Linked DNA regions of Neurospora crassa OR74A. The protein of the gene in region 1 purifies or fractionates together with the protein of each later gene. This does not show direct contact. Links are inferred from orthologs where the notes say so. Each region holds a gene or a part of one and is shown in the gene's direction. Other genes may lie near its edges. The genes, in order: NCU02810, NCU02414, NCU07831, NCU04344, pph-3, NCU00040 and NCU08952.

Evidence for each region.
Region 2: the proteins of NCU02810 (region 1) and NCU02414 purify together in Saccharomyces cerevisiae (affinity purification with mass spectrometry; 8 studies listed by BioGRID, with this or other methods). This does not show direct contact. The link is inferred for Neurospora crassa OR74A from reciprocal best matches to the Saccharomyces cerevisiae genes GCD11 and GCD6.
Region 3: the proteins of NCU02810 (region 1) and NCU07831 purify together in Saccharomyces cerevisiae (affinity purification with mass spectrometry; 4 studies listed by BioGRID). This does not show direct contact. The link is inferred for Neurospora crassa OR74A from reciprocal best matches to the Saccharomyces cerevisiae genes GCD11 and NIP1.
Region 4: the proteins of NCU02810 (region 1) and NCU04344 purify together in Saccharomyces cerevisiae (affinity purification with mass spectrometry; 4 studies listed by BioGRID). This does not show direct contact. The link is inferred for Neurospora crassa OR74A from reciprocal best matches to the Saccharomyces cerevisiae genes GCD11 and GCN3.
Region 5: the proteins of NCU02810 (region 1) and pph-3 purify together in Saccharomyces cerevisiae (affinity purification with mass spectrometry; 3 studies listed by BioGRID, with this or other methods). This does not show direct contact. The link is inferred for Neurospora crassa OR74A from reciprocal best matches to the Saccharomyces cerevisiae genes GCD11 and GLC7.
Region 6: the proteins of NCU02810 (region 1) and NCU00040 purify together in Saccharomyces cerevisiae (affinity purification with mass spectrometry; 6 studies listed by BioGRID, with this or other methods). This does not show direct contact. The link is inferred for Neurospora crassa OR74A from reciprocal best matches to the Saccharomyces cerevisiae genes GCD11 and RPG1.
Region 7: the proteins of NCU02810 (region 1) and NCU08952 purify together in Saccharomyces cerevisiae (affinity purification with mass spectrometry; 8 studies listed by BioGRID, with this or other methods). This does not show direct contact. The link is inferred for Neurospora crassa OR74A from reciprocal best matches to the Saccharomyces cerevisiae genes GCD11 and GCD7.

The regions. Positions count from the first base shown.
Region 1 is NC_026501.1:9,046,539-9,050,464, forward strand, and holds NCU02810 (eukaryotic translation initiation factor 2 gamma subunit), read left to right. Parts: upstream 1-1,126; 5' UTR 1,127-1,540; coding exon 1,541-2,058; intron 2,059-2,123; coding exon 2,124-3,110; intron 3,111-3,183; coding exon 3,184-3,214; 3' UTR 3,215-3,674; downstream 3,675-3,926. UniProt on the Saccharomyces cerevisiae protein: As a subunit of eukaryotic initiation factor 2 eIF2, involved in the early steps of protein synthesis.
Region 2 is NC_026507.1:2,573,194-2,577,165, reverse strand, and holds the start of NCU02414 (translation initiation factor eif-2b epsilon subunit), read left to right. Parts: upstream 1-1,172; 5' UTR 1,173-1,394; coding exon 1,395-1,553; intron 1,554-1,637; coding exon 1,638-3,719; 3' UTR 3,720-3,972. UniProt on the Saccharomyces cerevisiae protein: Acts as a catalytic component of the translation initiation factor 2B (eIF2B) complex, which catalyzes the exchange of GDP for GTP on eukaryotic initiation factor 2 (eIF2) and is regulated by phosphorylated eIF2.
Region 3 is NC_026503.1:1,003,716-1,007,776, reverse strand, and holds the start of NCU07831 (eukaryotic translation initiation factor 3), read left to right. Parts: upstream 1-1,261; 5' UTR 1,262-1,568; coding exon 1,569-1,941; intron 1,942-2,015; coding exon 2,016-2,998; intron 2,999-3,056; coding exon 3,057-4,061. Other genes in the region: NCU07832 (pre-mRNA processing splicing factor 8), read right to left, coding at 1-209. UniProt on the Saccharomyces cerevisiae protein: Component of the eukaryotic translation initiation factor 3 (eIF-3) complex, which is involved in protein synthesis of a specialized repertoire of mRNAs and, together with other initiation factors, stimulates binding of mRNA and methionyl-tRNAi to the 40S ribosome.
Region 4 is NC_026504.1:3,704,339-3,707,853, forward strand, and holds NCU04344 (translation initiation factor eIF-2B alpha subunit), read left to right. Parts: upstream 1-1,185; 5' UTR 1,186-1,503; coding exon 1,504-1,583; intron 1,584-1,680; coding exon 1,681-2,635; 3' UTR 2,636-3,015; downstream 3,016-3,515. Other genes in the region: NCU04345 (adaptin ear-binding coat-associated protein 2), read right to left, coding at 1-428; egt-1 (DUF323 domain-containing protein), read right to left, coding at 3,102-3,515. UniProt on the Saccharomyces cerevisiae protein: Acts as a component of the translation initiation factor 2B (eIF2B) complex, which catalyzes the exchange of GDP for GTP on the eukaryotic initiation factor 2 (eIF2) complex gamma subunit.
Region 5 is NC_026503.1:2,384,687-2,388,662, reverse strand, and holds the start of pph-3 (serine/threonine-protein phosphatase PP1), read left to right. Parts: upstream 1-1,176; 5' UTR 1,177-2,139; intron 2,140-2,287; 5' UTR 2,288-2,445; coding exon 2,446-2,625; intron 2,626-2,728; coding exon 2,729-3,130; intron 3,131-3,210; coding exon 3,211-3,510; intron 3,511-3,572; coding exon 3,573-3,601; intron 3,602-3,690; coding exon 3,691-3,706; 3' UTR 3,707-3,976.
Region 6 is NC_026503.1:2,375,198-2,379,398, reverse strand, and holds the start of NCU00040 (eukaryotic translation initiation factor 3 110 kDa subunit), read left to right. Parts: upstream 1-1,401; 5' UTR 1,402-1,877; coding exon 1,878-1,880; intron 1,881-2,112; coding exon 2,113-4,201.
Region 7 is NC_026505.1:5,799,596-5,803,774, forward strand, and holds NCU08952 (translation regulator GCD7), read left to right. Parts: upstream 1-1,379; 5' UTR 1,380-1,714; coding exon 1,715-1,812; intron 1,813-1,869; coding exon 1,870-2,922; intron 2,923-2,981; coding exon 2,982-3,069; 3' UTR 3,070-3,729; downstream 3,730-4,179. Other genes in the region: NCU08951 (ribosome biogenesis protein Nhp2), read right to left, coding at 11-453, 561-846; NCU08953 (hypothetical protein), read left to right, coding at 4,161-4,179. UniProt on the Saccharomyces cerevisiae protein: Acts as a component of the translation initiation factor 2B (eIF2B) complex, which catalyzes the exchange of GDP for GTP on the eukaryotic initiation factor 2 (eIF2) complex gamma subunit.

The DNA.
Region 1 (3,926 bases):
GCTTGAATCCTACTAGACTGCTTCTCGAACCATCAGAGACGGTTGTACGCGCTGTTGAACAGGTCTTGGCCCCGGAATCTTCCCGATTCCGATCCAACAAGCATCTGGGTTGGATGTGAAACAAGGGCTTGGGCGTGTTTTGGGGGCCGGGAGAGAAGCGTGTTGGTGGCCGATGTAGTTTTGATGTATATCGAGCATATTCCCAGCAAAATACACTCAAAACATAACATGATCCTGTAACGCTTGCACAGCTGTTGCAGTTACTCCCTGCCTCAGTCCAAGATCACGGAGGACAACATTCGGGCCACTTGGCTCAACTCTTCACAGCGCTATTATCCCGAGACTGAGCCCTAGTTGAACCCTTATTATCCCAAGAGCGATGAGCCTCACCTTTCGTGAAGATATCGAATAACTTGACGGGAAAGGGTCGAATCCAGGAGAAGACACCTCGTGTCCTACCTTTTCGCTCCACAGTCAGGCATTGGCAGCAGGTACGACTTTGATGACGCCCTTAACCAAGCTTCATAGAGTTGAGACTGTGGCCATGACCAGCATCGTGGGTGCTCCTCAGAGTTGACGACGACAAGCAGACTCGGCGTTGTTGATGATGGATCAGCTTATCGACCCGGAAACGTTTGTATGTACGTCGAAGGATGCCGGTGTCAATGGGAGAGGCCGTTGCAGAGTAACGATTGTTCTCAAAGAAAGAAACCGGATTCAACTCGCCGATCGATACAATGTACCCGTTCTCAACGTTCAGTTGATATAATTCTCAGCGTTGAGTTACCGTGTACGCTGTGAGTAAGTTTCTGCCGACACAGACGGGACAGAGGGTTGGATAAAAGTGTAGATGGCGAACTCTTGATAGGAGAGAGGTTCCAAAAGTCACCTCAATGATGTTGAAGCTGAACCGTGACTGAGCTCTGGACTTTAGCACTACACTTACTTGGTCCTTATCGCGCTCTTATCGGCCCTTGTGGGGCAGGCGACGGTCGGGCTAAACCGAAAACCGTGCTTAGTGGGGCAGCGGCAAAGGCGGGAAGGGTTGGGCGCACGCAGGGCAGGTTCGCAGAGCGGAATGTGTGAGGCTCTCGCCTTGTTGGTCGCAGCTGGCAGCGGCAGCACAGGAAAATACCGACCTAGCACAAGCCAAATACAAGTCAAATATCGTCAGAGTCATCCACCAGGCAGGCAGTTTTTCTTCTCAGCCTTCCTCCAACCTTCGCTGTAACCCCACTATTTTGGCAGGTCCAGTTTTACTACCTCTACCGTCCACCAACAACGTCCGCTATCACAAATATCGCGAGTCCCGTTGCGGAGACAGTAGGACACCCACATACATACCCACACCAAGGAGCAGGGTCTAGAAAAGTACACAGCAACTACCAGGCATACACCACCCACTACACAGTACACAGCAAGAGGGGTTGCTTCACCGAAAGCGAAAAAATTACTGCCCCGCGACACATCCATCCATCGACTTGACGACCCAACCTAACTCACCTCCACACCTCACCTCCATCCACCCACATCCACAATCATGGCTACCAACGGCGACAAGTTTGGCAACGACATCGTCGAGTCCGACTCGGGCTCCGACAACGAGTCTCACGTCGACCAGCACGAGTCCGACAACGAGGTCGAGGCCAAGCCGCGCAAGTCGGCCCTCAAGAAGGCCCCCGCCCCCGTCGTCCAGAGACCTCCCCTTCCTCCCCAGACCGATCCCAAGGACCTCGACGTCAAGACCCTCAGCCCCCTCACCCCCGAGATCATTGCGCGACAGGCCACCATCAACATCGGCACCATCGGCCACGTCGCCCACGGCAAGTCGACAGTAGTAAAAGCCATCTCGGGCGTCCAGACGGTCCGTTTCAAGAACGAGCTCATCCGCAACATCACAATCAAGCTCGGTTACGCCAACGCAAAGATCTACAAGTGCGACAACCCAGCATGCCCTCGCCCGACATGCTACAGGAGTTACAAGTCCGAGAAGGAGGTTGATCCCCCTTGCGAGCGCGAGGGTTGCGAGGGCACCTACCGTCTGTTGCGCCATGTCTCGTAAGTTGTTTAACATAACATCATTTGCGCCAATGAATGACTGACCATGTGTCTCCTCCTCCCAGCTTCGTCGACTGCCCTGGTCACGATATTCTCATGAGCACTATGCTTTCAGGTGCCGCCGTCATGGACGCCGCTCTCCTCCTGATTGCCGGAAACGAATCCTGCCCTCAGCCCCAGACCTCCGAACATTTGGCCGCCATCGAGATCATGAAGCTCGACAAGATCATCATCCTCCAGAACAAGGTCGATCTCATGCGCGAGGAGGCCGCCAAGCAGCACTACGAGTCCATCCTCAAGTTCATCCGTGGTACCGTTGCCGGAAAGTCGCCCATCATCCCCATCTCGGCCCAGCTCAAGTTCAACATTGACGCCATCAACGATGCCATCGTCAACACCATCCCCGTTCCTCCCAGGGATTTCTCCATGGACCCCCAGATGATTGTCATTCGTTCCTTCGACGTCAACAAGCCCGGTGCCGAGATCGACGAGCTCAAGGGTGGTGTTGCCGGTGGTTCCATTCTCCACGGTGTCCTCAAGCTCGGCGACGAGATTGAGATCCGTCCCGGTATCGTCACCCGTGACGAGAAGGGCGACCTCAAGTGCACTCCCATCTTCAGCAGGATTGTCTCCCTCAACTCCGAGGCCAACGACCTCAAGTACGCCGTGCCCGGTGGTCTCATTGGTGTTGGTACCCGCATCGATCCTACCCTTTGCCGTGCCGATCGTCTGGTCGGTTTCGTCCTCGGTCTCAAGGGCCGCCTCCCCGAAATCTACTCCGAGATCGAAGTTAACTTCTACCTCCTCCGCCGCCTTCTCGGTGTCCGCACCGCCGACGGCAAGCAGGCCAAGGTCGACAAGCTTGCCAAGAACGAAGTCATCATGGTCAACATTGGTTCCACCTCCACCGGTGCCAAGGTCTCCGCCATTAAGAAGGATGCCGCCAAGCTCATCCTCACCTCCCCTGCCTGCACGAGCATCGGCGAGAAGGTTGCCCTTTCCAGACGTATCGAGAAGCACTGGCGTCTTATCGGTTGGGCTACCATTGCTGCGTAAGTTTTTTTCTTTTCTATTTCTTTACCCCATAACTTATCACCACTGAATAACCACTAACAAAAAAAACAGCGGTGTCACCCTCGAGCCTTCTACCTCTTAAGCGAGCGACCAGAAAATATCCAAAGTTTATACATCGCTTGATTAGGAGGAAAATTAAAAGGTTGTTAATTTTTGGTTGCTCTAATGATGAATATCCAAAAAGTCGTTGGAGGATGATCAAAGAATGGAAACTTGGGCGCGGACACGGAAGGAAACGGCGTAGCGTGGGGAAACCGGGACCTGTGTTTCTAAAAACTAGCCTTGTGAAATTTGTACATGGTCTTATTTTTATCCAACTTGGGGCCGAGGACAGTAGAAAGACTGGTCATACGATTCGTTGAAGAAGATGAGCGAGGAATGTTGTGAAAAGAGGAACTCGTGAAGAGAAGCGCATTATCGGACCATTAGGAGTTTTTGTACAAAAAGTTATGTTTGGTACCGACGTACTTTGGGTTTACCAAGTAGTGGTAGAGGTAGAGAAGATGCCATTACGTTGATTTTGTCAAGGTCCGACGTACTTGGATTGAGTTTATTAGCCAGTGGTGATGATAAGAGTAAACTTGAAAGAGTGAAGTAGAGAAGATAAATACATTGATTCCGCCATGAGTCTTCGACGTAATGACCATCTTACCATTATACTAGGCTATGGTAATGGCTCGGATAGATGGAAAGAGTCCAAGAATATACCTAACAATACTCTTCATGGGACACAGTCGAGTATGTATCCGTACGTAACTCTATTCATTTTTCTCTTTCTAGACCTGATAGTCTAT
Region 2 (3,972 bases), on another chromosome or scaffold:
TAATGAGACGTAGGTAAATAGCGTTACTTAAAGCTGTTATTTCGTTACCCTTTTTAAGGATGAGAAGGTTAGCGACTTCGTTAAAATTAAAATTAGAGTTCGGGGATGGATATTTTAGATTTACTTTATAGGTAAAAAAAAGGGTACATTCCTCTTTTGGAATTATAAGGATTGGGGTACGATTACTAGCGATATTTACTAGAAGTATGTCTTCCCTTTTCTGCGGTAATTTTGGTAAGAGAATTCGTTTTTTGTCGTTATGTAAGACAATGCACTAGCTTATAGTTCGAAGTTAACGAAGGTATTTATAAAGGATGCTTTTGTTGGCGCTACTATTGTCGATTGGCCGCCCTACTCCCTTGATTTTAATTCTATTGAGAACGTTTGGGCCTTTATGAAGAGATGGATTGAGTGTGAATACCTAATTAGACTGATTGGGAATAGCTTTAAATTGGCTATCGAGAAGGCTTGGGAGGTTGTATTAGAGGACTACTTACTTTGCTTAGTATATTTAATGCCTAGAAGGCTTGAGGCGGTTATTAAGGCAAAAGGCGGGTATACCGACTATTGATTTGGCTGAGGTTACGGTTACAATTGTGGTATTTGAGAATCCCTGGTTTTAGTATGTGAAATTGATTGATTTACGGTAGCTTTGTTGTCCCTGTTCTTCCTGTGCGGGCCTCGTATGCGTAATTTGATTGGATTTATCCCTAGTCGCCTCCCTTGTCAAAACCCCTGTATGTACCGAGCTAACGAACTTTCCAGGGCTCAAGTGTACTATTCACACTACTTAGTACCTTCCCTTTCATACATGTTGCCGTTTTTGTGCGGCCAAGGGAGATGCTAAGCACTATCGTGTTGTAGTGTACACGACTAGGACACGAAGTACTGTTCAGTGCCGGTGCTATGATGTGCTTGATGCGGCTACTTCAGTTGTCATGATCGATATGATGGGAGCCCAAATGCGGCTAGTGATTTCCAACGCCACAATTTTCCACTGATGAAAGTTACCACCTGTAAGGCTCAGTGCAGTTGGTACGCGGTACGGTAAACTTAAGGCCCCGATGGTACGTACAAGCCACAGGTGATAGCCCTGCGCCCCACCTCCAAGCATGCAGTACCTTACGGAAAACACAATGTGAAAGTTTGGACAAATTGGGTCACTGCGTTGACTCATCATTGCAAGGTTTTGGTACCGCACGGCGGCCGAGGCAGGCGCATCATCAACCCCAGCTTTGAAGTTCAAACGCGCCGTTCTTGACATTGTGCAGCCCCACCTTTTTCCTTCTACCACAGTCTTCCCCGCGCTTCCCGATCCGCGGCCACTTACTCAACCAGGCCCTCGTCGACCCATTCCTGTAGAGTTCGAGCTGATAAATAGACTTCAGTTGGCAATGTCGGGCAAGCAAGTCAGCAAGGGCGGGGCTGCCAATAAGTCCAAAAAGCCCGCCAAGGGCGGCGCCGAGGAGAAGAGAGAAGATGCTCTCCAGGCCGTCATCCTCGCCGATTCTTTCCAAGATCGCTTTCAGCCTTTCGCGCTTGAAAAGCCCAGGGTAAATGCCTTCATGCTTCGTGCTAAATGCTTCGTGTCCCTTGTCCCTGGTGACCTCTGAGTACTGACGGCCTTCTCCTGACAGTGTCTCCTTCCGTTGGTCAACGTGCCCGTTATCGAATACACGCTCGAGTATCTAGCCTCCAACGGCGTCCAGGAGGTCTTCATCTACTGCGGCGCCCACTCCGAAGACGTCGAAACCTACATCCACGACTCTGACCGATGGAGCCCTGAAAGCAATCTCTGCCCCTTCTCTTCTGTCGACTTCATCCGCGTGTCCGACGCAAGCTCCATCGGTGACTTTTTGCGAGATCTTGACAAGCGCAGTCTTATCTCGGGTGACTTCATTCTGATTCATGGCGATGTTGTCGCAAACATCCCCCTCGATGGTATTCTGGCTAGGCACCGCGCAAGGAGAGAGGCCAACAGAGACGCCTGCATGACCATCGTCTTGCGCTCAACAGGAGACAGCCCTCACCGGACTGCAAAGGCCCGGGGCATTACTCCTGTCTTTGTTGTCGACCCCACCAACGGCCGTTGTCTGCAATATGAAGAGATGCACCCACTTCAGAAGGACAAGTATGTCAAGTTGGACGAGTCGGTATTCGAGTATGCTGAGTTCGACTTACGCACCGATCTGATCGATTGTGGCATCGATATTTGCACGCCAGATGTTTTGGCCTTGTGGTCCGAGAGCTTCGACTACGAGCTTCCCCGCAAGAACTTCCTTCACGGCGTACTGAAAGACTGGGAGCTCAACGGCAAGATCATCAGCGCCGAGATTCTTGAGGAAGGCTACGGGGCTCGCGCCAGCAACCTTCAGATGTATGATTGCATCAGCAAGGATATCCTCCACCGCTGGGCGCTACCGTATGTCCCCGATAGCAACCTTCTTCACGGACAAACTTACAAGTACAAACGGGGTCTGTGGTTAGAGGATGGCGCACACATCGCAAAAAACAGCACAGTAACCAAATCCGTACTAGGGAAGACCGCCTATGTCGACACCGGCAGCACAATCTCGAGCAGTATCATCGGAAGGAGGTGCCAGATCGGAAAGAACGTGAGGATAGAGAACAGCTATATCTGGGATGACGCGGTCATCGAAGACGGTGCTACTGTTCTGCATTCCATTGTAGCCAACGATGCAGTCATTGGTAAGCACAGCTACATTCCTCAAGGCTCTCTCATCTCCTACGGTGTGCGGATCAGCGCCGGAACACAACTCTCATCCAAACCCCTACCGAGAATATCCCTCTTTACCAGTGAAAGAGAGCCGGTCAAGACCGACATCAAACTGGTCGGAAACGATGGCAAGGGAGCCCAATATAAAGAGCCAGAAGACGACGAGGATAGTGACTCCGAGGATGAAGGCGATGCGGACCCCGCAGTTCTCCAAAGCTCTCTCATTTACTCTTTGGCTGGCCTCAACATTTCAAGCGAGTCCATCTCCACATTAGCGACCCATGACTCCGATGATGACCTCTCGGATGACGAGTACGAGCAAGGCCTCCAAGCCAAGACCAACCGGGAGCGCCTATCCTCCTTCGCGTCTGACGATTCCGCTGCCGCCGTCATGAAGCTCGACCAGTTTCATGGTGACGCTGTTCACGGACTTGTAGATGCCCTCCGTGCTGACGACAACGAGGATTTCGACTCTGCGAAGCTGGAGTTCATGGGTTTGAGACTGGCCAATAATGCTTCGGACAGCATGATGCGCAAGGCCATTGCCGTAGCCTTTGCCACTCGCGCCGCCGAGCTCATGAGTCCCGAAAACGGCGGTCTTGAGCCTACCAAGGCCGCTGGCCGGGCTCTTACGTCCAAGAAGGGTGCCGTCAAGTTCATTACAGAGGTTGGCGTCGGCGGAAACAAGGTCGATCTCCACGCTGAGTTTGCCCTCGCGTTGCAGAAAGCTTTGGCAGCCATTAAGGGGCTTGATTCTGCGCGCGCAGGAACGCTACTTGCCGCCATGCTGCAGCAGCTTTATAACTTGGACGTTCTCGAGGAGGAAGGTATTCTCGCCTGGTGGGCGGATGCCAGGGCTGCAGAGAATGATACACTCTCCAAGATCAAGGAGAGGAGTCGTGTGCTGGTCGAATGGCTGGAGAATGCAGATGAGGAGGATAGCAACGAAGACAGTGATGAAGAGGATGAGGATAGTGACTAGATGGGTTATCAATGGAAGTGCATGCTCAAGAGGGATGGATTATTTGGAAGAAGGAAGCAAGGGTGGAAGAACGAAAAGGGGGAGGTGTAGATGAACTTATACCCGCAGCACCTGCGACCTCGAGATATTGCTTGTGTTCTCTTTTTGGGAAGGGGAGAATGGATGGACGGGAAAATGAAGGAAAATTTGACATCCGCATACTCCTCGCTCTCAACACATCTTCCTTTGTATGAGCACGAATGCCTGTGATAAT
Region 3 (4,061 bases), on another chromosome or scaffold:
CGATTTCTCTGCATGCGAAGCCATTCCTTCTTCTTCTGGGCGAACTTGGCAACATGAGGGTCGGTTGGTGGAAAGAACCCAGGCGGCGGCGGTGCTGGGAGGGCAGGAGGAGGTGGGAGAGAGGACGGAGGCGGCGGCGGCGGAGGTGCTGATGGCGGCGGAGGAGCGCCCCAGCCGGGGGGAGGAGGTGGTGGTGGCGGATAGGACATTTTTTCGATTTCTGCTTGATGAAGCTTTGTTGACGTTTATGTGGTTGTTTCGTTGTAATCGTCTTCGTCAGAAGCGTGTACCAGTCGGCGTTGGCGACGAGATGGATAGAAGGCTGGATACCGTGAAGTCGCCTGTCCGCGCGATGGCGGTTTGCAGTCCGCGTGCGTCGTTCCAAGGCCTGTCTCGCTGAGGAAGAGAAAAAAGGACTGGCAAATATTAGATTCCCATTGGTTTTAGATGGAAATGGGCGTAGGTCGACCTCGCACCAAATCGCGGCGATGGTCGATCAAGCTGAGAATGGAGAGGTGGATGTTGTATTCGTGAAAGTGTGGTTTGGTGGCGCCAGGATGCTGGCGTTGACGTTGGCAGGTTGGCCTCGTTACGAAAAACTTGAACAGCCTCGCGACAGCTGCGTGGGCGGTCGATAAAGTTCAGAGGTCAGGGCGGGCGGTCCAGGTCCTGGCGCGCAAAACGGGAAACCTGGCAGCGGGATTCTTCGCTGTGCAGGTGCTTGTTGGCAGCTGCAGCCCGGTAGCGTCCCCGCCACTCCAGTTAGTGAAAGAGGGCCTGGGGTTGGTTGCCTGCAGCGACTGGGCAGGCTGGGCTGTCACTTCTCGACTTCGTGGCGAAACGTCTCCTGTTACGTACTGTAACTTTCGATACGCAATCCCCGTTACGTGGTAGATCTGGCTTGACAAGCTCACAGCACGTCTCAGATGCATGTAACCGAGTATAGTGATACATTATCAGTTCAGGTAGCTGATACATTGAAGGTGGGGCATCAGCTGGCTGGCTGTTTGCGCCCAAGTACCCAGACGACAGGTGTTGAATCTCATAGTGAAGGCCTGACAAAGCAATGCTTGATATTGTTCCCTCGCTCCGCTCGCCAAAGTATACACAAAAACCCGTTCCTCTGACAGATCCCTCATGCGAACATCTGCAAGGTTCAGACCTTATCTTCATCTTCTAGGAATCCCGTCCTGCGATCTCCAAGCGGAAGCAGGTACATTCAGCTCATAAGTTCAGCCTCCCCCCCGCGGAGCAAGTATCCTCTCCCCCCACACCCCTTGCTCGGATTAAGTCATACCCAATCATTACAGCGCTCGAGGCCCAAACAGCTCCGCTCGATTCGCTAAGCCCCAAATCGCCCCCACCAAAACGGCCTTTCAGTGAAAATTAATTCTTTGACCCCTCTGTCCGCCTCGCCGCAGCCGGGTTTTGCTTTGCCAACCATCCGGACCATCACCACTTCCGTCCACCACTCCAAGTACCCATACCGGTAACCCGGACTTCTGCATCGCGCCCATACCCCCGGAACCCGCATATTTATTCCGAGTCTATCGAAAGAGACCGCAACCATGTCTCGTTTCTTCCGCGGCGGTGACGACAGCTCCACCGACAGCAGCTCCGAGGAGGAGGAGGTCTACACTTCGGAGGAGGAGGAGGAGAAGGTTCAGGCCGAGGACGAGTCTTCGTCTGAGGAGGAGTCTGACGAGGAGGAGAGCGACGAGGAGTCCAGCAGCGACGAGGAAGAAGGAACCAAGAAGAAGGGTGCCTCCCGTTTCTTGCAGAGCGACGACGAGTCCGAGGAGGAGGAGGAAGAGCAGAGCGACGATGAAGCCACCACCAAGGTCAAGAGCGCCAAGGACAAGCGCTTCGACGAACTCGAGTCCACCATCAGCCAGATCCAGAACGGCCAGAAGATCAACGACTGGAGTCTTATCGCCAACGGTTCGTATATCTTTCATGCATGCATACACCCTCGATATGTCCTGCACCGATACTTACTCCCCTCCCCGCTTTAGAATTCGACAAGCTCAACCGTCAGGTCGTCAAGCTCCAAGATGGCAGCAAGGCGCCCAAGTCCTACATCAAGGCCATTGCCGATCTTGAGGACTTCATGAACGAGACTCTCGCCAAGCAAAAGGTCACTCCCAAGAAGATGAACGCGACAAATGCCCGTGGTCTCAACGCCGTCAAGCAGCGCATCCGCAAGAACAATAAGGAGTACCAGACCCAGATCGATGCCTACAGGAAGGATGCGGACGCTTTCATGGAGTCGGATGATGAGGTTGCCGCGCCCAAGGTTGTTTCCAAGGTCCGGTTCGAGGCTCCCGTCGTCAGTGCTGAGCAGCAGGAAGAGGACGACAAGGGCTTCTCTACGGTCGATTCGCGCGGCAAGGTTGTTCAGTACACCCCCGAGAGCATCCTCAAGCACCTCCGCGCCATTATCGAGTCTCGCGGCAAGAAGAACACCGACCGCCTCGAGCAGATCAAGGTTATGGAGACCCTCAACAAGGTCGTCCCCATTACCCCTTACCAGAAGATCCGTGTCCTCCAGACCCTTATTTCTGCCCGCTTCGATCTTGGTGCTGGTGGCGCCGCCCAGATGCCTTTGGACCAGTGGAAGGCCGCTGAGCGTGACCTTGCCTCTCTCTTGGAGATCCTCGAGAAGGAGAAGGACCATGTTGTTGTTGAGGGCGCTGAGGAGTGGGATGATGATGACAAGCTCCCCACCATCCCCGAGGGTGAGAAGTACCTCAAGGTTCCCGGCAGCGTTGTCTCGCTCATTGAGCGTCTCGATGACGAGCTCACCCGCTCCCTCCAAGCCATCGATCCTCACACCTCTGAGTACATCGACAGGCTAACCGATGAGGGCTCTCTTTACAACACCATCTTCCGTGGTCTTCTTTACTACGAGCACCTCCGCAAGGATGCTTCCCTCGAGGTTCCCCAGGAGAGCTTGAACCGCATCATCCAGAGGCGTCTGGACCATGTTTACTACAAGGTATGTATAGAGCTAATGCTGGAATACTCAGCCGTCTTTGCTAATCATCTTCTTTCAGCCCGCCCAAGTCGTCAAGATCCTCGAGGAGAACGCGTGGAAGCAGGTTTCTGCTGAGGCCGATTCTGAAATTACCCCCCGCAGCCAATCCGGCGATGCTGGCAAGCTCATCAACATCCTTTCTAACTACCTGTTCGAGAACAGCGAGGGCATCATCCGCGCCCGTGCCATGCTTTGCCAGATCTACTTCTTGGCTCTGCACGATGAGTACTACAAGTCTCGCGACCTGATGCTCACTTCCCATCTTCAGGAGACTATCGCCAACTTCGACATCGCCACCCAGATTCTCTACAACCGCACCCTCGTTCAGGTCGGCCTTTGCGCTTTCCGCAAGGGTCTCGTCTACGACGCCCAGAACACCCTCCAGGAGATCTGCGGCAGTGGCCGTCAAAAGGAGCTTCTTGCTCAGGGCGTCATGATCCAGCGTTACAGCCAGGTCACCCCTGAGCAGGAGCGCCTCGAGAAGCAGCGCCAGCTTCCCTTCCACATGCACATCAACCTCGAGCTCCTTGAGTGCGTCTACCTTACCTGCAGCATGCTCCTCGAGATTCCTCTGCTCGCCCAAACCGGTTCTTCGCCCGATGTCAAGAAGAGGATCATCAGCAAGACCTACCGCCGTATGCTCGAGTACCATGAACGCCAGATCTTTACCGGGCCTCCGGAGAACACCAGGGATCACGTCATGCAGGCCTCCAAGGCCCTTGCTGCTGGTGAGTGGAAGAAGGCCACCGACTTCATTCACAGCATCAAGATCTGGGACTTGATGCCGAACACCGAGGGTATCAAGACCATGCTCGCCAAGCAGATCCAGGAGGAGGGTCTCCGTACCTACCTCTTCACCTATGCTCCTTTCTACGACACTCTCGCCATTGCTACCCTCAGCTCCATGTTTGAGCTCGACTCTCGCAAGGTCTCTGCTGTCGTCAGCAAGATGATCAGCCACGAGGAGCTCGCGGCTGCTCTTGACCAGGTCACCGAGACCGTCATCTTCCGCAAGGGTGTTGAG
Region 4 (3,515 bases), on another chromosome or scaffold:
GACTCGCTGCGCTCCTCGAAGCCGACGCCGAGCATGGCCTTCTTGCCGGTGGTGGGATCCTGCACGCGCAGGGCAAAGAAGCGGCTGCTGTCGATGGTGGCCTCGACGACGGCCTGGGTGGTGTAGGGGGCGGCGGCGATCAGGTCGTTTGTGGCAGGGTCCTCGAGCACAATGTCGACCTTGACCGTGTCCTTCTCTCCAATCTGCTCGGGCGTCTGCGGCGGGATCGAGGTCTCGATGATGCGCACGCGGCCGGTGAAGATGTGCGCCTTGGGGTCGGCGGTCCAGTCGGCGGCCATGTGGCCCTTGGTCGAGCGCATAGGGGGGATCTGGTAGATGTGGACCGAGGAGGAGGTGATGTGGAGGATGCGCTGGATGGCATCGGCCGGGAGGGGGGCCTGCGTGGCCGGGTCTATGAGGGTCGTCATGATGTGTGTTGTGTTATGGTGGTGGTGGTGGTGGTCACGGTCGTAATGGTGTTTCTGTCCTTGTGATTTGCTTGCTAGCGTACCTAGTCCCTATGTCGGCAACTTATAGTCGACGCTCAACAGGAAGCCAGGGGGGGAAGAAGAAGAAGAAGAAGAAGAGACTGAAGCCAACATCGCCAACCAACGGGTCCATACACCTAGGTAGTTTCAAATGCCCGATGAAGAAAGAGACAATGACGGTAAAGGGTCCTCCGCTACTGTAGAAACCCCTAAGTTAGCTTCACATTCCCCTTGCTGCCCCTGTTCCATGGAAGCGGACGGCGGGGCGGAAGCCACAGGAAGTACCTAACAGTGGTAGCAGCGCAGATGCCAGGGGCAGCCTGGAGTAGAAAGGATCCACGCAGCCCCAGGGGGGACCCTCAGTGTTTCGACCCTGTAAAGAGCCCCCGAAAGGTCCGTGAGGTGACTGGTGGGCGGCGGTGACAAGCCGCAACACCTGGCATGGAAATCACCCAGGGCAGCAACAACCCCGCTAGGTAGTAGTGTACACTAGCAGCTGCCGATAGCGGGGCACATACCTAGCGGGCATGAAATGGAAACAAAGAATGGCCGGAGAGCTTCGTTGACGTGCAGTAGGTACACTCAGTAGTAGGTACGCATTGAGGACGGTGAGTGGCGGCAGAATACTTCAAAGGGCCGCCCGCACTTGGGAATTTGGGATGAAGAAGGTTACATGTACAGCTAGTAGAGGTAGGTACGCATCTTGAGTCACACTTTCAGATCAGACCAGACGCACGCTTCTTCAGAAAACGCTGCATTTTATCGACTCTGCATACCACAAACCAGATCATTGTCGCAATACATAAACCTGTACGATTTGACAAAGCCAAAACCTGCCTGCCTGCTCCAAGTCTCCCAAGTGACTAAAACACCCCGAACCCTCCCCACTTGGATCGACCGCCGCAACAGTGCTTCCTCCCGGGAGGACTTGTATGTTTTGGCAACGAAAACCACTTCCCACACCTTCACAATATCAACACACTTTGTCGTCTTCTCCAACAACCCCCATAGAAACATGGCCACCGACGACCTATCCAACAAGCCGCTCGCGGTACGGACGACATCGTCCACCTCCACTGATGGCGCCTCGTTCGAGTGAGTTTGCTTTGGCGTAATTACCACACGCGTCATAACCAAACCGCGCTGAACCCTTTCGTCGCATTGCTTGCCTCTGACCAAGACAAACAAACAGCATCGTCAAAACCTACCGCGACCTCCTCACCTCCGACCCCGACATGACTATGCCCGTAGCAGCCATCGAATCGCTCATCGAGCTCTTGCGCGTCACCCCTTCCTCAACAGCCATGGAAACCGTCGAGGTCGTCAAGACCCAAAAGGCCCTCCTCCTCGACTCGGCCCCGAACCCTCTCCCTCTGCTAGCCGGCGCCGACCTCTTCGAGCAGTACCTTCTCCGGTCGCTTAGAGGGCAGACCGCCGAGTCCTTCGACGAGACGAAGCGCCACCTGCTCAACAACCGCCAGCTCTTTGCCGCCCGCGCCAAGGCCGCCCGCGACAACATTGCCGTCATCGGTTCCCGCTACATGTCGCACCGCAAGATCGTCCTGGCCGCCGGCGGTTCGCGGGTGGTGACCAAGATCCTGGTGCACGCCGCCACGACCCGGACCAACACGCACTTCAAGGTCATTTACGTCATGGACGGCAGTCCGCACTGCGACGCCAGCGTCTCGGCCCTGCGCGACGCCGGCCTGGAGGTGGAGACCATCTCGACCTCCAAGGTGGCCTACGTCCTCAAGGACCAAAAGGACATCAACATCGTCCTCGTCGGCAGCGAGGTCGTCATGCAAAACGGCGGCATCATCTCGCGCATGGGCACTTCGCAGCTTGCTCTGCTCACGCGCTTCGCGGGCGGCTCGCAGAAGCGCTTCTTGGTTGCTGCGGAAAGTCACAAGATTGTGCGCAAGACGCCCCTCTGGCACCCACAGGTGTTGAGGGTCGGCGTCAAGCAGAAGGATATCAGCAAGTTTGACAACGTGGGCGTTGACCCTGTAGGCCAAGAGGCGAGGGATTGGGTGGCGGATCGCGATGAGGTGGATTATACCGATCCGGAGCTGATTGATGGCATTGTGACGGAGCAGGGAGTGAAGCAGCCGAGTCAGATTTGGGAGTTGGTTGATTATGAGAAGTGAGGGGGGTCTTGCTGCCCGATACTGAAGGTGAAAGGTGTTGAAAAGCGTGGGTAACAAAAGGGCGGTTTTATGAATGGATGGATGGATGGATGGAACTGCTTGATCATTTTCAAGTTATCGGTGTGGTTACTGTGGTAAATATCCTTGCAGCATTATTAGGCGTTTTTAACGGGAAATGGGATAGGTACCTGATATCCTTTGGAGGTTTGGTTGATGAAAGAGTCTCTTTTCTCACTTGCTTGGCCTGTGAAGGAAAACAAAGTACGTGCTAAAGTTAAACCAGGGATGCCTGATCGAGTGGAGTGACATATGAAACCACCCCATTCATATACATGTAGTTGACCGAAATTTCATAACCAAGAAAAAGATACCCATCTGAGTACTAACCAAGACTGCGCTATTCACGTCGTCTTCACTTTCCAACCAGCCATAGTCCACCACCCATTACACATACAAACACAACGACTCACAAATCCCTAACAACTCTCGCCCCCACCCAAGCATAAGGATAATTCCTCTGGTACCAATTCACAAAGCTCTTCCTCCCCGCAATCCTCGGATGCGTAGCCCAGCTCCCTCCCAGCACAATGTTGTGCTTCTCATCGAAAAAATCCGCCGTATAGCCGGGGTACAGCTCCATCGGCTCGAACCCCTCCCACTTGCGGAGGACCGATGAAGTCCATTCCCACACGCCGCCGAGCTCGCCTTGCCCGACAAGGGTGTTGCCTTTGGAGGTGATGGGCATAGGGTGCCAGTTGTGAAAACCGACATTGGCACCGTCTAGGTCAGAGAAGAGGTCTTCGGTGGTGATGAGGGTGGTGTTGCTGTCGGAGGGGGAGGAAGACTCGGCGGGGGTCTCGGAAGAGGGAGAGGATGGGGG
Region 5 (3,976 bases), on another chromosome or scaffold:
TGCGCATTTGCTGTCGAGCTCCCAGTCTCACTGATCTTGCGGATACACGTCGGCGGCTGAGTCGCTCGAATATTTTGCTCGTTGTTGACTGGATATCCGTTGCCTGTCGACCTGTCTTTATACTCCTTCGCTTCGAGCTGTTGTAATCATGCATACCGGGTGCTTGTGCCTGATCTAGGTGTAGGCCATGTAGCCAGGCTGCCCTGCCTATCATTGCGTTTGCGGAACCTGATGCTGATGGTGGGGGGAAACGAGCAAAGAGGACAAAGCCGGAATACCAATGCAAAGTAACAACAAGGCGACCAAGAAGGCATTCCCGTCTTTGCTATTGCCGTGTACATACCAGGTAAGGTGTCACACTCACAGTCCACTATCTCTACACAGGGAGGGGGAAGTTGGAGGGTTGGGAGAGATGGAAGTTCCAGGCGACACCCACCAACGGGATCGCAAGCGGCTTTTAGGCGAGCCAATCCCAGGCCTAGACCTGCCAAGGAGGGTCCGGTGTTCGGGACTCTTGCTAACAGAAGTGCTCGCAGTTGCGGGGGAAGGCAGCGCAGCTCCTACCCAGTCGCGTTAGTGAGCAACATGGACCGACCTATCATCATACCTGCTTCCCCAGAGGCGAGTGCATGCAATTTTTCTCGAGCCAAGTTGGAAGGGCCGCTTCACTGCAACTGGAAAGGGCACAAGGGCTCGGCCAGGATCTGACGGAGATTCAGAGCGGGCGCGAAACCTAGGTAGGTACCTACCTACCTGGCTGGCAACCTAGGTACCAACTACCTAACCTAGCTCACCCAATCTGAGCCTGTCCTTGTTTGGGTTATTTCAGCCGTAGGTAGGTATGTTTGAGTTTAAGTTGAGGGTTGTTCTGGCCTGCCATCGCGTCGGATGTTTCGAGTTTTTTTCGTTCCATGTCACTGAGTGCTGTCCTGTTCATTCCATCGATGTGGATGAGAGCCCAGTCGGCGGAAAAGATCACAACTGCACCGAAACCCGACCCGACCGGACGCCTGTTGTGGTTGTTGTAACGATAACCTGACTGGCAGGCACCGAGGTGACCTGACCTGGGCTTGAAAGAACGCGGACCTGGACCTGGACCTGCCTGCCTACCTCTACCTACTGCTCTCCACTGCTAGTAGGTAGTCTGGAAGCCCTGTGCGTTTCATTAGCTGCGTTGCGTGCGTGTAAATCTTGCTGCTCCATCGGCCCAGTAGCCCAATCCCTTCTCTGCGTCCCCGTCCAGTCCAGTCGCCAGTCTTCTCTACCTACCTACCTCTACCTAGCCCATCGCCCGGCCGGACCCCCCCCCCCCAGCAGCGGGCAGCCCAAGTGGAAGCGTCTGCGCTTGTCCGTCTCCTCCCAAAAGTCTCTAAGCAACCACCACCGACGTTGATTTTTTTCTCCCGACGCTTTCTATCCCAACCAAAACAGGGCGACGTCTTTAACCACAAAGAACGCGCATTTTCAACCCCACCCTGGCGATAGAAGTCCTATTATCATAGGCATCATCTCGCGGTATCTCGTCTTCTGGCCTCCGTCGCTCAATTAGACGCAGCTTTTTCCAGCGACCCTCCGACCGGCCCAGCGCTCTGTACTGCACCTCGCTGCAGCACTTTGCACTCTCCCGGGCAGTCCATCGACCAGTTTTTCCCGACCGTGGTTTTGGCAGTGGCAGTGACAGCCTCTCCCGCAGTCTCAGGACTACTTGAACTCCCCTTCTACACCCGACCTTTTCGAACCCAGATTTTCGACGACGACACGGCGTTTTGCCCCAGCCCCGTCCGCGCGACAAAAAAAAAAAAACACGTTACCTCACAAAGGACGATCAGAGACTTCTGGAGCCGTCTCCTTTTTCCATCATTGCTAACCCTCTTGTCGCCGCGTACTACCGGACCGATTTCTTCGCAATTCCGACGAGATTTGCTTGCGCTTGCTCTAGACCGTTCGCACCTCCGCCAAACCCAGTGACGATTTACTAAAACCAAAGCACAACATTCGGTATCCGAAAGAATACCTATTTCCAGAAAAAAAAAACACCAAAAAAATCACCGCTTGCTGTATTCCCAAGGAGAACGCGTTCGCCTCTCCAAAAAAAAAAAAACCCCCAACAATCGCTTCTTGCTGGGATCGCTTCTGAGCGTAAGTTGATCAACTGCCGTTACATTGCGGCTTCCCAGTCTCTGCCCAGCCGTCGCTCCTCCTTCATTTTCCCGCCATCGCGATCGCGTGCGGCAAACCCCAATCAGAATCTGCGTCGTCATTGGCAATGTCTAACGTCTTGAATTAGTCGTTTAGCTTTGCAGAAGTGCATCTACCCCAGTTTCCTACTCCTTACGCGTGCCGCTCTTTTAGACCCGTCCCATCCGACTAGCTGGGGTTTGTCGGTCGTTACCGTGACTTCGAAAACCTGTGCGCGGTATCTCTCCGGTTGGTGAGGATTTTGCAATGGCGGACCATACCGAAGTCGACCTCGACTCTATAATCGACCGCCTCTTGGAGGTGCGGGGCAGCCGGCCTGGTAAGCAGGTGCAGCTGCTGGAAGCCGAGATTCGCTATCTCTGCACCAAGGCCCGTGAAATCTTCATTTCCCAGCCCATCCTGCTTGAGCTCGAGGCTCCTATCAAGGTAAGCATTGTGTTCTTTCTATTATCCCTTTACATAGCCTCGGCATGCGCCATACTGCCCCTTCGGCAGTGTTCATAGCTGACGTCGTGCCCCACCTCCCTAGATTTGCGGCGATATCCACGGTCAATACTATGATCTCCTCCGCCTCTTCGAGTACGGTGGCTTCCCTCCTGAGGCCAACTACCTCTTCCTAGGTGACTACGTCGATCGTGGCAAGCAGTCCCTGGAGACCATCTGCCTGCTCCTCGCCTACAAGATCAAGTACCCCGAGAACTTCTTCATCCTTCGTGGCAACCACGAGTGCGCGTCCATCAACCGTATCTATGGTTTCTACGACGAGTGCAAGCGGAGGTACAACATCAAGCTTTGGAAGACCTTCACCGACTGCTTCAACTGCCTACCGATCGCTGCCATTATCGACGAGAAGATTTTCACTATGCACGGTGGTTTGAGCCCGGATCTGAACTCAATGGAGCAGATCCGCCGAGTCATGCGACCAACTGACGTACGTTACACCATTCATGCCCGGGCTTTCCGTTTGCTCAGGCTAGTTGCCGTAACATGAGACACTAACAATAGCGCCAGATTCCTGACTGCGGTCTTCTTTGCGATCTCCTGTGGTCGGATCCCGATAAGGACATTACTGGTTGGAGCGAAAACGATCGTGGTGTTTCCTTCACATTCGGCCCGGATGTCGTTTCTCGCTTCCTCCAAAAACACGACATGGATTTGATCTGCCGTGCTCACCAGGTTGTTGAGGACGGATATGAGTTCTTCTCGAAGCGCCAGCTCGTTACTTTGTTTAGTGCCCCCAACTACTGCGGCGAGTTCGACAACGCTGGTGCTATGATGAGCGTCGACGAAAGTTTGCTCTGCTCTTTCCAGGTATGTTTTTCTGACTTTGGCAAGCTCCGAGACCCTTGCACTCTTGCTAACCCCCTTTGCAGATTCTCAAGCCCGCAGAGAAGAAACAGAAGTACGTTCCCAGTCTCAGATGAAGCAATTCAAGACCCCCAAGAAGCACAAGTAAAGAATTTTCTTACGAACACACCCGTTTTCCTTTAGGTTCGGCCGCCGATAAACGTCTGATACTTTCGCCCGCCCGCAACGAACATGAGTATCTTACCGTCAGCTTGTCTACCGCCGCCATGTTTCCTGATCGCCAGGGCTCCCAGCCATCATCCCGTCTGCCGTCTGTTCCGACCACTTCTTTTGGGGAGGTCCTCGCCCCTCCTGCCGTGCCAACGAAACGAAAGCCACGTCTGCCCGTCCTGTCTCTCCATCCGTCCGGTCTCCACACAACTCGAGAGGGTAGGAAGGAAAGGGAATCTTTTTATATCTCGGGGGATGA
Region 6 (4,201 bases), on another chromosome or scaffold:
GATGCCAGGAATGCTTAGGACCGACACACGATTGACGATTCCTAATAGCAAGTCTTGGGAAGAGAAGGGGCGCCCATATGGAAGTTCCTTCATTCCTTCAGTGCCACTGGCGGGCCCCGGACCGCGACGGGGGTCAGTGCGCAGCCTGTAGAACCAGTAGCAGCGCAGCAGGGAACGGTTCGGTAGGCGGGTGCAGTCCGTGCAATTCCCCAGCAGGCATGGACGCCCCAGTCTCCCCCTGCTTGGCCTGCTGCAGTGCTGCGCTTTTACCTGCACTTGCACTGCTGCAATGCTGGTCGCTTTCGGTGCTGCACTCCTCTTCTGGGCAGCCAAAGCAACCCAGGGCGACGAGGAAAAAAAGGGCCAAGTGCAAATGAGACGGACCAGGGGGTCGCTTAGCAGGGTTTGGTTAGATTAACTCGACACTAACTACGACCGTAGACGGAATGGGTGCAGACGAGTTAGTATCAAGACAAGATAGCAAGTATCACCACGAGCTCCGCATTCAGGATGAGGTGCCGGCCTCCCTATTGTCCTGCCCCATCCGTGCCATTGTGATTGACATTGTTGCAAGCTTCTGGAAGCGGGACTGGAGGTCAAGATCTAGGAAAAGAAAAGCACGATGGAGGCCGTTGAAGATGGACTGCTGCCACCGCCGCTGGATAGGCAGGGACAGGACTAGTCCGACCAACCGACGGGACCTTTTTTGGATCTGTCGGTGCTGCTGTGCATGAAAGCTGCAGCAAGAATGGCAAATGCAGGGCAGTCAGAACACGACGGGTTCCGCCCCCACTTTATCGTCCCCCCTTTGATGGTCTAGCGGAACCACCCCGGCTCAGCAGGCATCTCCGGACGGGATTGGGAATGGCGCCATTGGGTGGGTGCCCACTTGCTCCGACCGATGATGGACGCGAGCTTGAACGCTCTGGGTGGGACGACGAGGGTACAGAGGAGAGCCTCCTGTTTCTGCATGTATGTATGTATGTATGTATGTACACTACAGTAATCACAGACCGTGAAGTCCTATGCAGTTGCTGGTGTGCATTCAGCTACAGGAGAAGAGTTTGCAGCCACTCTAGCAGTTCAAGCAGCGATATCATATGCCTTTTAGGAGGATATATGTTCTTACTGGGGATTATCTTCTCAATACTCGACCGAAGTTCGCACCACGATTCTGTTCCAAGTTCCAACTAAGCCTCAAAGTGCAATTTCGTCGATGACAGCCGTGAGAAAGCTTGGCAAGACCGCCGACGGTCCGTCATCGGTCAAGGCGGGGGTCCGTGGCCCGGCAGAGAAGAACGCCCGTCGCCAGCGGGCTGGGAACTCGGGCACAAAGAAAGAACAAAAGCCGCTGTGCACACACACCATGGAGCTCCTTTCTAGTGTACACCAGACTGGACAGCACCAGACGCCAAGATGGCAGAACATCCCACTTGCCCTTTGCGACAATCCAACCTTTTTACCATTGTGCACAATAGCCTCACAGCAGATCACGGTTAAGATCAAGAAAATAATTGCATCTCAGTCAATCCCCATTGCTACAGAAGTGACCAAACATCCATTCGCACAACAACTTGCACTTCACGCCTCTGAGTTGTTGTCGCAGCGACGTGCTCGATAAGCTGCATCACGTGACTGTCCCGCATCATCCCAGCCCACAAAGTGCTCCTCAGCAAAATCGAGCCTCTAGCCTTGGCCAGGGCTTTTTTGGCTGGCAACGAACTGAACTTCTCCACGAGGCGAAAAAATCGTCCTGGACAGCGCAGCCTCAGCCAAAGTCTCCAGCATTTCTACGTGCTGCTTTGCGCGCCGCGTCCCCTATCACCACTTTATCCATATCTCCTCCAGATTAGCCAAGTGCCGAGGAGTTGCCCATCATGGTGAGTTGGGAATACAGCCATAGCCTTATGGTTATGGCTTCGAGTTCATATAATCTTCTGCCCCTCCTTTGACTGGAAAGCCAACTCCATCGTCACCTAACCTCATCACCGCCCACCCTGCCCTCCACCCCCCCCTTCAACCCTCGACCACCCCCGCTCCCCGCCTGTCCCGCTCACCACCAAGTGTCGTCGTGTGTTGTGACCCGTGGTGACCATTACTGATCATCAACAGCCTCCCCCACCTCACCAAAAGCCTGAGAATGTTCTCAAGCGCGCCCACGAGCTCATCGGGGTCAACCAGGCCCCCGCCGCCCTGACCCTGCTCCACGAGCACATCACCTCGAAGCGCTCCCGCAATGTCCCCATCGCCTCCCTGGAGCCCGTCATGCTCCTACTCGTCGAGCTCTCCGTCGAGCAGAAGAAGGGCAAGCTCGCCAAGGACGCCCTCTACCAGTACAAGAACATCGCCCAGAACACCAACGTCGCCACCATCGAGTTGGTTCTCAAGAAGTTCATCGAGCTCGCCGCCGAGAAGGTCACTGCTGCCCAGGCCAAGGCCGACGAGGTCCAGTCCAGCATCGAGGCCACCACCTCCAACATCGACGATCTCGAGGCCAGCGAGACCCCCGAGTCCATCCTGCTCGCTACCGTTTCCGGTGAGCAGTCTCGCGACCGCACCGACCGCGCTATCGTCACTCCTTGGCTGAAGTTCCTTTGGGAGGCTTACCGCACTGTTCTTGACATTCTCAGGAACAATGCCCGCCTCGAGGTTCTCTATCAGAGCACCGCTATGCAGGCTTTCGACTTCTGCCTCAAGTACACCCGCAAGACCGAGTTCCGCCGCCTCTGCGAGCTTCTCCGCAACCATGTCCAGACCGCCGCCAAGTACTCGGCCCAGATGCACGCCATCAACCTGAACGACCCCGATACTCTTCAGCGTCACCTTGAGACCCGTTTCCAGCAGCTCAACGTCGCCGTTGAGCTCGAGCTCTGGCAGGAGGCTTTCCGCAGTGTTGAGGATATCCACACCCTCCTCAGCCTCAGCAAGCGCCCCGCCAAGAACGTCATGATGGCCAACTACTACGAGAAGCTCACCCGTATCTTCCTTGTCGGCGAGAACTACCTCTTCCACGCCGCTGCTTGGGCTCGTTACTACAACCTCTTGCGCCAGTCTGCTGCTCTCATTGCTTCTGGCCACAGCAAGAAGGCTGATAACCCGGCTTGCAGCGATGCTGACCTCCAGAGGGCTGCCACCTTTGTCATTCTCTCCGCCCTCTCCATTCCCGTCATCAGCACCTCGCGCTCTCGCGGTGCCATGGTGGACTTCGATGAGGCCCGCAAGAACAAGAACTCTCGTTTGACCCACCTGCTCGGCATGGCCCAGGCTCCTACCCGTGCTGGACTCTTCCGCGATGCCCTTTCCAAGTCGCTTCTCCGCCGCGCCCAGCCCCAGATTCGCGATCTTTACAACATCCTCGAGGTCGACTTCCATCCTCTTTCCATTTGCCAGAAGATTTCCCCCATTCTCGCGGAGATTGGCGCCGATGCCGAGATGCAGAAGTACATCCTTCCTCTTCAGCAGGTCATTCTCACCCGCCTGTTCCAGCAGCTTTCGCAGGTGTATGAGACTGTCGACCTTGAGTTCGTCGAGAGCTTGGCTCAATTCCCCGAGCCTTTCCAGGTCACTCGCGGCACCATTGAGAAGTTCATTATGAACGGCAACAAGAAGGGCGATCTCGCCATCCGCATGGACCACGCCACTGGCGTTCTTAGCTTCGATGCTGATGTCTTCTCTTCCGCCAAGGCTGTCCACGCCGGTTCCTCTGCCGGCTCTGCCGAGAGCGAGACTGGCTCTGTACAGCGTCTCCAGAGCACTCCCTCCCAGATTGTGCGCTCTCAGCTCACTCGCCTCGCTGAGGCTCTTTACACCACCTGCCGCTATATCGATCCTAGCTTCAACGAGGCTCGCATCAAGGCTCGTGATGAGGCCCTTGCTCGTGCTAAGGCTGGAGCCGAGAAGGAGCACCAGGAGGTCCTTGCTCGCAAGGAGATCATCCAGACGCGCAAGGATAAGGCTTCTGAGGCTCAGGCCCAGAAGGAGAAGGAGAACGCTCGCAAGAAGCTGCTCCAGGAGCAGGCCCTCCAACAGGCTGAGGCCGCCCGTCTTGCCGAGGAACAGAAGCTCCGCGAGGCGAAGCGTCTTGCCAACGAGCGCGAGCAAATCAAGAGGAAGGAAGTTGAAGCCCTCCTCAAGGATATGAAGCTTGAGGAACTTCAGGGTGAGGACATCGAGACCCTTGACAGCAACAAGATCCGCATGA
Region 7 (4,179 bases), on another chromosome or scaffold:
TCCCGCCAATTTAGGCAGTGCCCTTGACCTTGGCCTCGATCTGGAGCGGGTGAGTACCCTTGACCCAGGGCTCGACCTGGACGTTCCACTGTTTTTGCGCCGTCTTGACCAGCTCCTTGTAGGCCTCGAGGTACTCGGCAGGGTCGACCTTGTCGCCCTCCTCCTTGCCAGAGGACTTCTTGCCCTCGGGCTTGAGCATCACCACCGAGGTGGCGCGCTTGGTGCAGGCGGCAACGCCGAGGTCGGCGCGCGAGCGAATGTACAGGTAGGGAACGCCGTGCTCCTCGCACAGAATGGGGAAGTGCATGATCACGTCCATGGGCGAGATGTCGCCGGCGATGATGACGAGGCCGGGAGCGTCGGCGGGAGGGGAGGCGGCGGTCCGGAGGGGGCACTTCTTGATGGCCTTCTCGCACTCTTTTACGCCGCGGTGGATGGACTTGAGCTTGGCGCCTGTTTGTTTTTTTTAATCAAAAGTTAGCTTGGGTTCAGTACAAGTCGTGCGTGGGCTGCGATTGAGGAGCCTGGCAATGCAATTGGAGAGTAGTCACAAAACGTACCCTTCTTGATCAACTTGTAAATCTTCTTGTGGGTCTTGTCGTCGGCGAGGGGAAGGGCAAAGGGGACGAGGTCCTCGGCGGTCTTGACGACATCCTCAGGGTCGACGGAACCCTCCTTCTCGAGGTGAGCCTCGACGGCCTTGGCGAGCTTCTCGGTCTTCTCCTTCTTCTCCTTCTTGTCCTTCTTCTCCTTCTTGACACCGGCCTCCTCGCTCATCTTCTTCTCCTTCTTGTCCTTCTTCTCGGACTTGTCCTTCTTCTCCTTGATCTTGTCGGTGGCACCCATCTTGTCGGATTAAATGTGTGTGTGTGTTGTTGTTGGTGGTGGTGGTTGGGTGTGTGTAGATAAAGTTGGTGGTGGAGGGGGATGGGGTATCAAACAGGAATTAAAGAATGGTTATACAGACAACCACTGCAGTAAAGAGAAAAAAAAGTTACTGGGTTGGGGCGTCAAGGTATTTGGTATCGTGATGGGGCGGTTGATCGCAGAAATGGATTCTTCAACGCAGATTTTACTGGGTCCATCAAGTGACCCAGTCAATCAAAGCAGAGCGACGCGACCAAAAATTTGTAGGCCAATTGTAAAGCCGTTCCGCCCGGGGGCCGATAATGCAGGTGAGCGCCTGGAATTGGGTGCGATAAGAGGGACCAATTTTCCGATAAGCACGCGATAAGAGGAAATGTCTTAAACTTCCACCTTTTGCTTGGTGGGGCTTTCCATTCAGTACGACAGGGATTAGTAGTAGTCTTGAACTTAAACAAGGCCTGCTTCTAGCCTGCCGCAAACTGGCAAACAGCGGCAGTGCTTTGTCCTTGAAGGCCGGTTGCTTGCCTGCCCCACTAAATTTCTAGAGCTTGTGATACCTACCTCCAAGCGCATTCAGTGTGAGCCATTGACTCACCTCGACAATTCACTGGCAAAAAGTCCACAATCCCAAGCGACATTGGCCCAGTTCTGGAAGCTATTGTTGGAGAACCTTTTTGCGACCAGCAGCCTTGTCATTCCCCCCCGCCTATATCGATTTCATAGATATCCGTCCAGTACCATTCGTAAAGACCATACAGCCTCGAGCAGGGAACAGTCGCACTCTCACTTCGACATCACCTCCACAATACCTCAGTAGCACACAGAGTACTATACACAGCTCATCGCCATGGCGTCGTCGCAAATGAGCTATGCCCCCACGTTGGGCAAGCTCCTCAAGTCTCTCAACACTCAGCCCTTGGAGGCTTCTATCGAGGCTCTTATTTAGTACGCCTACGCCTGCTTCATATCTATCTTATATCAGATCCTAACATGGTTGGGCAGCCTCCTAAAACGTCGCCAAGTCAAGGGCGATGATGTCGCCAATGCCACAGCCCATATGCTGCTCCAGGTCGTCGCCAAGTCTAAGTGGCAGAACGTCGATCAGCTGCTCGCAAAGGTCTCCAACACCGGCCACAGACTTGCCCAAGCTGCTCCCACTGAGCAAGTCATCGGCAACGTTGTCCGCCGAGTAATGGGTCTTATTCGTGATGAGGCTTCCGAGGACAGAAATGCCGACGAGATGGGCGACTCAGTATCCGACCTCTCCCAGCTGCCCACAACGCCCACCATTTCCACAAGGCCAGGCCCCACGCCCCTCCGCGCCGCGACTCTCCCCATGTCCAAGTCCATGTTCAACCTTCTCTGCGTCTCAGAGACCGCACAGTCACCAGTTACCGGCGCATCTACCCCCATGTCCCAGGGCGCATCTGCCAACATGCATGCCCTACGGTCCGAAGTTATCGATGGCATCGAAGAGATTATGGACGAGATCAGCCAGGCGGACGACCAGATTGCGGGTTTCGCGGACATCCAGATTCACCCCGGCGATTACGTGCTCGCCTACCTCCCCTCCCCAACAGTCGAGAGATTCCTCCTCAAAGCCGCAGCAAAGAGGAGGTTTACCGTGTTCATCGCCAGCGCTGAGCGTCAAAAACCCGGCGAGGTGCCCCATGCTGCCCTACGGAAGAAGCTCAACGGTCTCGGGGTCAACGCCATCAGCCTGGCTAGCAACGGCTTGATGGCCTATATGCCTAGGGTGAACAAGGTCGTTATCAGCGCCAAGGCCGTATATGCGAACGGCGGTATTTCCACAGAGAGTGGGTGCAGTACTGCTGCTAGGGCAGCGCAGGAGTACTCCAAGCCCGTTATCGTTCTAAGCGGTGTTTACAAGTTCTGCCCCGTAGATCCGTCGGACGATGGGACCGAGTTCGAGCAGGGAGATTCTTCGACGTATGTCGACTATGCCGACGGTGAGGCCGTCGATGCCCTCGAGGTAGAGAACATCGTGGGCGAGTACCTGCCACCCCAATACGTCGATGTATACCTAACAAACCTGTAAGCCCTGAACCCATAATTTTGATGACTGAAGAACCCCAACACTAACAACTTTACAGTGGCCCCCAAACACGAGATCATCTTGCCACCATCATGGCCGACCATTACAAGCTCGAAGATATGGGCTTGTCTTTGCATCTGCCTTAGAAGCCGAAGAGAAAAAAATGAAGAAAATAAAAAGACGCGGTTAATAATGTATCATGCTGCCGGTCCAATGCAATACTCGTTCAAATACCTCTCGACTGTTCCTGGTTCAACCTGGCCGACCAATATGCGTTCCGAAAATACAACATCGTGCGTTGCATATATGTCAACTGAAGAGTCATATCTGTACCCATAAACTTGTTTGTTCCTTATCATCGTGCATATTTCGGTAGTCCCGATGGCGAGGTTTTGCGGATTCACCGGACTCAGTAGCTTTGGACGCTGGCAGAGGCTTCGACGGGCATGGTTAGATGGGGTGAAGGGACAAGATGTGTCGCTTTTTCTTGCTGGGCCGCCATCGAACTTAAGGATCTAGATGAGTGCAGTACAGCATCACGTAAGGATATCGTATATAAGCAGGAATCGGGGCCTCCGCTGCGGACATCGGATGCTGTTATGTCGGACTTCATCTGCGCGCCGAAATATATTTCCCTGGAAAATACATCTCCCTGCACAGGGAGTCTGACAGATACTTAAACTTGCCCATCCATTCTCTTTCCACTCGAATTAATTCCCTCTCTTTTTCTCGTCATCCGTCTACGTACTCGGTTCCTCGCTCCTTAGGTCATTTATCCACGTAAATCAATACATCAACGGCTTGTCCTTACTTCACGATCCTTCAGACACCGATACTTGTCTATCGCGTCCCTTTCTTCGAGCGGGAGTCATTCTCCGTCTTCTCCAGCTCCTTTTTCATACCATCCACGTGACTGTTTGGGGCTACATCCTCACGGTCTACGCTCGAACGGCCTACACACGTACGGTCTATATACCTACACTACACACAACCACTGTTCAAGACTCCTACAGTGCAAATCCCCACGGGTCATTACCTCCGATCATGATCCCATAGTCTATCCATCTACGACCTACATACCTACCTACGATCCGTACACCGACGGTCCAAAAACCCACGACCATCGTCCACATAGCTCAACCCGTTACCTCCTCGGGGAATCCGCTCCAACCTCAAATCATACGCTCGCTCGGCCGGATCGCGATAATCCAACCAGTCAAAGTCAACTACCACCAAAATGTCACACGCACGCTCCT